Linked DNA regions of Drosophila melanogaster. The protein of the gene in region 1 interacts with the protein of each later gene in a pairwise test. Each region holds a gene or a part of one and is shown on either strand. Other genes may lie near its edges. The genes, in order: Jig and Lrch.

Region 1 (3,019 bases):
GCTTGACCAACTCCCTGCTCCTGCTGCGGATCAGTCTCCCCCTCAGCATCTGCATCCGGATTGTCTTCCGCTTCCGTTTCCGGCTCGTCCTCCGCCACTCGCGTCCCATCGTCACACACGTTGATGGGCTTGCGCTCCAGCAGGGGGCGTGGCAGGCGGCTCAGAAAGGCCGAGCAGTAGGTGCGGATGTTCTCGCACTCACCGGGATTCCGCTTGACCACAAACGCACACGTCTGGATGATGTCATGCAGCGTATTGTCCATGTACTGGAACACCAAGTGCTGCTCCTCCGCCTCGCCATGCGTAACCACTTTCCCATACAAACTGCCGGCGGTGGAAATGAAAAGCCAATTAGTGGAACACCAAACACGCGCTAAAGTTCATCTCACCCAACTGGTTTTCCGGGAATATTCATTTCCACCTCCTCATATTTGCCAAGTACATAGTCGAATCGCTCTTTCGCATCGCTTTCCTCCATCTGTGGAACAGAAAATAAAGTGTGTTTAATCAGGAGGACTAGCAACTATAGATTGTGTTAGTTCAAGTTAAATTGTGTTTTTAAATAGACCAGTATCATACTCACATCTTCAATGCAGTGATTGGGCGGAATGCAAATCGTAAACTAAAAATGCATTAAAAAATTATAGGGTGCAAAAACAATTTACACAAAGTACTTACCACATTGGGTAATGAAATAATTCCCAGGCACAGCAGCAGAGAGCTAAACAAATCCATGGCTCAACCGTTCGCTGATCAGCTAAAAGCGAAACTAACTGAAAAATCAGAGCTGGTCAGCGCATCTACGTTAAATTGCGAAATATGAATTTAAAATATTCACGCTCATTGTTCTCGCTTCGCTTGGATGTAAGATGTGACGTCATGATAATTATAAAATAAAACAAAACAACCAAACAATTGGGAAGTCATAAAGTAAATCTTACACGCGAATCTAAAATTTAAACATATTTTGTACTCAAATAAAATTTTGATACCCGCAAATAAGGGAAATTAACCCAGTGCGAGCTTAAAGTGCAAAATACTGCTATTAACTTTCTGCCTGGTAGTTTTCTGCATTAATATCTGCCTTTATTTTGTGCCTGGCAAATGGAAAGCTGCATAAACTAGCATTCAATTATGTATTATAAAAAGAAAACCTTTGGATTTATGCCATAAAAGCCATGAATCTAAAACAGGGGATTATTGTACCTAAACAAATAGCATATTAACTATTTATGGACTTGCATCCGCCGCACTTAACAATCCCAAATGATTGAGATATTTAATGGACTCTGAAGATGGGACATCCCTGTGATGTACCTTTAATAACTTTAATAACTACGCCGATCAGGGTAAGTTCTGAGTGAAGAATTCGGAGAAATAAGCCAAAAGTCGATAGGAACAGCTGAATAAATTTGGCAATTATTTGTATAAGATAAACGTATTGAACAAGTATATATTTCCAACAAAAGTCCCCACCAGCAGATGACAATTGGTTAGCTATCATCTTCTTGTACAATTATATAGATACAATAGATATCAAAAAAAAACAATCATTTGATAGCACCAGTTGGGTAAATTTGCATATATTCTTTGGTTTTATAAGTCACCTGGAATCATCACAGCGGTATATAAGACCGTGCTACCATCCGAAGACACCATCAATCTGAAAATGAGGGCCACATCGATCATCTTATCAGGAGTTCTTGTCCTGGTCGCTTGCCTATTGAGGAGTAGCGAGGCGGTGACCTGCACCGCCGACCCCAATGTCACTGGATGCATCGACTGCACCACCAGTCCAAGCGATCCGGAGTGCGTGGCTGAGGCCGCTAATACCACTACGAAACCCGCAGATGGAACAGATACCACGACACCCACCACAGGAGGAAGCACCGATGCGACCCCGGCGGGATCTACAACGCCTACTTCGCCAAGCGGCACTGTCACTCCAGCTCCGACCAGCTCACCTAGTGACTCCACGTCGCCCAGCGACTCCACACCCACTTCAAACAACGCGGCTGCTGTGGCCAGAAGGAGGAGGAGGATGGCGGCCAGGAGGCGCGCTCAAAGGAGGAGGCGTGCACAAAGGAGGAGGGACCAGAGGAGGAGGAGGGCCCAAAGGCGCAGGAGGCAAAACCAATCGGGCTAAAGCCAACATTCGATTTTATAAAATTTAAAAAAAAATACTAAATAAAACCTATATTCAGCATCCAACAACAAAAATAGTTTGAACAAATTTTTAAGAGTTCGCTGTGTAGAAATAAGTATATTGTCTTCAAACAAAGGAGAAAAAATATTATTACAAAAATTAAAAATATCTCTTCTAATTGGTACTTTAACGACAACGTGAAGTATATCTCTTTGAAAAAATTTTTATTGGGTAGTTAATAGTTTCACCTCAGAAATACATAATAATTAAAACTTTATTTTGATAAAATCATTTGTTTTATGTATAAAGAAAATCTATTTCACAAATAAGTTCAAGTCTATTTCTATTCTAAAATAATTTTGAAACCATTTAAACTAATTGTATTGTACAACAAACAAACACAACCTTCAACCGAAAAGCAAAAAACTATCCACAGATGGCATTGATCATCTTGTGGGTACACATTCAATAGCAAATAGTGTACAAGGCAAATATTAAAGAAGAAGTCATCCATTTCTAATAACATACATACACTTAGGAAAAAATTCACCATTTTTGACAAATTTTAAGTCATGTATATTTCGAACTGATGAGAGTTTTATCATATATGAATACAAGTCAAACCAGGCTTCAATCAGATAAATTAAAATATACTCATTTTCTATTCTTGAGTAAATAGGTGAAACTAGTTCATTTCTCAACTTGGATTCACAGCCGATAGTTTACGATTTGGCAGCAAACAATGTCTAATATTTTATATGATCGTATAGAAACAGCTGCGTACATATTAGCGAAAATCGCTAGATAGGAAGAGCGCCCCTTGACCTCGATCAAGCCACTATAAAAGCCTAACCAAAATCCGACATCACCATC
Region 2 (4,988 bases), on another chromosome or scaffold:
GTCTTCCGATTTTGGAAACAGAACCCGTCGATCCAAAACTAGATGGTGCCTTCATTTTGCTGGGCTGCGGGATTCCGGTACCAGAAGTAGCGGGCGTGGGAATATTGGATCTGATGGGACCCGGTAATTTGGAGGCAGTGGCTCCTGGTTCCGGGTCCGCAGTAACTGGCGATGGAAAAGGGGCACTTGTCCCGCCCGAAGCGCTCGTATCATCACTCATTTTTTACTTTATTCTTAATAATCTTCACTTATTAGGACACACGCGTATTAAAAGTAAACGATTTAAAAAACTTGGGGGAAAAACAAGTGCAAAAGAATAATTTTTGGTAAAATAAATGGAATGCTGATCACTTACCTTAACAAATATATGTATAATTCGCTTAATTTGCTTTTATTTTATATTTTTGCTACAAAAATAAATGGATTTTTTTTATTTTTAGCTAGGTTTTGAACCACTGTTCCACTTTTGTTGTTGCTTTATTTTGGCGCGCAGGCAGCTATCTCACTCGCACTTAGGCGGCTGCTTTAAAACAGCTGACTGAGAGCAGATTTCTTTTCTTCTTTTTTTCGTTGAGCTTGAAAAACAAACAAGACCGCTTTTTGTTGTTGCTCTCGTTGGCCAGAACTTCGTTATATTTTCAAAAAATGCGGAACACAAATATGTATTGAATTAATTTTATGCGACTAACAAAATCACTCAAGGGTATTCTATTTATATAAATTCGTAACTTTTTATTTATAATTTTGTGTTGGGCTGCTTGCGCTGATATTCATCAGACTTAAACAAGATTAAATTGAATCAAATTGCTTATCAATTTGTGCATTTCACACACACACACACGCACGCTGTAGCTCTGTTCTATATTTTATTGTTGCTGCTGATTTGACACAGTTATAGAAGAGGGAACCATTAGAAGAGGGTGGGAAAAGGGACGCGAAAACGCACTCTTATTGGTGTGTGTTTACCGCACACACACACAGTACTTAAATAAACTGGAGTGCTTTACATACTGTGCTGTGCGAATACGATTTAGAAATATACGCGATTGGGATTTTACAATTTTACACAAATTTTAGATTTTTTTTGCACTTAGTTGGCGTTGCGTTGGAATTTTGTTGTTGCACTGAGTTAGCGATGGTAGCACAGCTCCAGTGCAGCGCGCCAATCGATAGTTGCGGCTATATTTTCCCGAGGTATTTTTAGAGTAATGCGGTCATACAAAAACACCCTGTAGGAAATTGGCGAATATTTATTCGTGAATATAAATATGTAAAATATGAAATTATGTCACCAATAATGGAAGCGTCGCTGAGCTTATTCAGATTTGTGATCTGAGCCCACACAACTGACAAATTAACGAATTTATAATTTAGTCTAACATGGTTTTTTAATATTCAACCAGTTTATTGCCGGGTTCCAATACCAGGTTACCTGGTCATTTGTTCATTTTTTCTTTAAGTAGTTATATGAAATGTTTCGGTGTAATAACGACTCAGTAATCTAATAATGCCCTAAATTTGAAGGGGCAAATGCTAAACGGTAGATCATTCTGAATAAACAAACATTACATTACATTATAAAATGTAAGATTGTTGACATTTCGAATTGCGATAAAAATGGAGCCAGTGTATCATCGGCGCACTGTGGTATTTTATCGATAGTACTCAAAGGCACGCCGATTTTAAACTAACAGCAACGTTTCCAGCGCTGCCCAAGTAGCATCCCATAAACCGATTCAGTTGTTTTTCGATTTTCGTTGTGCACTGTCGCTCGTCTGCTGCGTGAGCTTGTGCGTGTGTGAGTGCGCGTGTGTGCGAGGAGGCAAAGAAGAGGAAGCAAGAAGGAAGCCGCAAAAGGAAAATCCAATTCCGAGAAATCTTATCAATGAGCCAAGAAGACGTACACTAAATGAAAAATAATCGAGATGCGTGCGTTTCAATAGAGCAAATTTAGTTTCCAGTTTCGGTTTCTTTCGGCACTTCACTCCGTTTCCTTATCGGTGTGATAGTTTAGCGCGTGCGTGTGTGTGTGCAAGTGTGTGGAAGTGTCGCCACGCCTACACGGGAAATGGCAGCAACGGTTTACCAACGCCTACATAGCGTCGCAGTCGGCGTCGGCAGCGCCGCTGGCAGCGCCATCGGCAGCGGGTCGGCTTCCCTTCCAGGATCTGGAACAGGATCGGGATCTGGAATAGGCCACGCTGGAAACACCTCCTCCTCCACCTCGTCTGCCCTGCTTAGTCATTCCCAGCTGACGCGCTCCCTGGAAAGAATCCTGGAAGAAGCGCACTTCAGCGGCGAACTGATCCTGACCAATCGCAAGCTGAAGGACTTTCCCAGGACTGGAACGAAGTACTCACTTACCGACACTGTCATCGCAGGTGCGTACCGCTATTGTATAGTGTATATTCGTAAGGGAGAACAAAGAAAAGGTGTTCTTCAAGCCGGTTTCGTAGCTCCGGAAAAAATTGGGTTTTCATTACTTCCTAAGTAAAGTTTAAACTGTTCTTAATAATACTTAATGTACGAAGTTAATAACATTTTATTGGAAAAAGCATACATTTTTATATTACAAAGTTAAATGGTATTAAAGTTGATTAGAAAATTGTTAGTTATAAAGTTTTCTTTTGACGTCAGAAAAAGTAAAAGTAGAGTTTACATATGTACAAGTACTGATAAAGCAATTAAATTAGTTGCTTATCGAAAATGTTTGGCGTATGTGTATACCTTTAGGGTGCGGCATTTAAGCAAAGGAGGTTTGTTGCCGGTGAGCTAACGAAGTTTTTCCATCTCCATTGCAGTGGCGAATTTTCCTTTTGTTGCTTGAAAATCAATAATTTGCAGCAGCCGTCGGAGGTTCATCCTTTTCCTCCTTTTCTGTCCTCCCATCAGCTGCTCTTTCTCTCTGCGGCTCTCCCATTCTCTCCCTTTTCGGACTGCGCTCAAGGACAATAATTACCGCCGTTATTCGCTCTTCGCCACTTTGCACTATTCGTGTTATCCTTATTTATTTTTATTTTCGCCGCAGCCGGCACGAAAATTTTGTCGAAGTTCAACCAACTTTCGTTTTTGTTAGGACCAAAAAATATGCACCAGCGGAGAAATAGTAAATGGGAAATACCCACCCAGAAAATTCACCGCCCTCTCGCAGGACCCCGCCCCCTCTCACAGCTGCTGCTACCCTCGAACAGATGTTCTCACAACGGGACATGTCTCTCATCGATTTTCACTTGTGTTTGTTGTATACACATACAGTAAACGCTCTGAAAGGCGAAAGGATACGTAGATAAGGTTAGTTGTCATTCTAATCGCTGAAAAAGCGAGATATGGCAATTTTCCATCTAACAATACTTCACAGATCGAAGATTATGTTCATTGAAACGAGACAGATTATAAACTACAAAATTATTTTAGTTTATTTCTTTTAATTACTTACACAAAGTAAATTCCAACTATGAGATGTTATTATTAATTTTAAGACTTATTATGAACGTGGAATGTCACCTTTCAGAGGACGCACTGTATTTTGATGTATTTTCGGTGGAAATGTCTGGAATAGAAGGAAACTTTTTATTTTTGGACTGCGAAGATTAATTGCCGTGGAAGAGAGATAAAAATAAATTGTGTCATAAATTGAAAACTAATTTGGTAAAAGAATAGGGAAAGAATTCAATAAAAATTCCACTTAGCCAGTGCCTTGGATGATGGATAATACCGGAATTGAAGAGCAACAAAAATAAACAAAATTCTCAGTTTGTCTACCATTAATTCAATTAAAATTACATTTTTATAAAGCAAACATAAATTGACTAATTAATGAAACTGAATTGAACAATGCACTTCGATATTGAAAAGAGTACGTAACAAATTTCGGAAGGTTTCAATTAAATTTAGGATACTAGAAGTGTTTAAAGAGATAAAACTTAATCTCCCCCTAACCTAGGAAACATATTTTTAATTTCCTTCCAATCCACTCCGCTCCCCGTTTTCCGCCTACGTGACTTGATTTTCGAATTAAGCTGTGACAATCCGTGACTTATGGCCACGCGCTATTTGTTCGAAATGGGGAAACGATCCCTTCTTCTTTGGAAAACCCTTCCCCACATGGAGAGCCAACGAGCTTCCGGTTTTTCGTTCATTTTCGAATAAGTTTCATGCGTTTTCTCACCAGCAATTGAGTCATCGACTGCGAAGGCGTGACTAATTACTAATTAAAATGCTGGATTTTTGGTGTGAATGGACATGTGGAAAATAGAAAACAGGGGGAATATTGAGATACGCTGAACCTCTCGTTAGGGGTTAATCTTTGGGGAAAATATTTGTAAATACACCCTAGCGAAGAACCTCTACAAATTGCCTCTTCGAGAACAATGAAGCCACCCTCGGCGAAGGGTTTTCGCAAGTGGGGGCGGTGGACTTTAAGAGGTGGCAACGGCTCTTAGCCTTAATGGCTTGCAACCACAAGGGTTTCGAGTTTCCAAGAAATCGATGATTCTAAAGCAAAAGAAAGTCAAAGAAACTGAAACAGAAAAAATGTGGGAGGGGGGGGGGGTGTATACACCGACCATTTTTCTTTTTTCTTTATTTGCACGCATGCCATTTGCAACCCCCGAAATGGCATGAAATTAAGGGGAATGGGCAGGCGCCTGTCAGCATTTCCTAAAATCATTTGTTGTTGCGGTGTGGGTGGGAGGTAGCCACACTTTTGTGCATTCCTTTGGGGCGTTTAATTAACACGCGTGTCACGCAAATCAAACAGAACCATAAACAAAAACCTAGACAAAGGACGGCACAAGAAAGAGTCAATCGAGTGAAGCGAAAAATCAACAGCAGGAAATTGTTTAAAGTAATTGCATCGAGAAGGAAAAAGCGCAAAACGGGTACAAAATTGCAGCTGGCCTCAGCAGAAATTGTGAGAAGAGAAGCCCAAGCAAATGCAAGAAGGTAGCAACAGCAGCAGCAGCGGCAGCAACATGCAGCAGCAACTT

What was found.
Region 2: the proteins of Jig (region 1) and Lrch interact in a two-hybrid assay, tested with the Drosophila melanogaster proteins (one large-scale study listed by BioGRID).

The regions. Positions count from the first base shown.
Region 1 is NT_033777.3:14,559,313-14,562,331, forward strand, and holds Jig (Jig), read left to right. Parts: upstream 1-1,622; 5' UTR 1,623-1,669; coding exon 1,670-2,146; 3' UTR 2,147-2,209; downstream 2,210-3,019. Other genes in the region: CG14854 (uncharacterized protein), read right to left, coding at 1-324, 390-478, 584-622, 679-735.
Region 2 is NT_033779.5:17,380,863-17,385,850, reverse strand, and holds the start of Lrch (Leucine-rich-repeats and calponin homology domain protein), read left to right. Parts: upstream 1-1,735; 5' UTR 1,736-2,068; coding exon 2,069-2,381; intron 2,382-4,988. Other genes in the region: CLIP-190 (cytoplasmic linker protein 190), read right to left, coding at 1-220. UniProt on the Drosophila melanogaster protein: May play a role in the stabilization of the actin-rich cell cortex during cell division.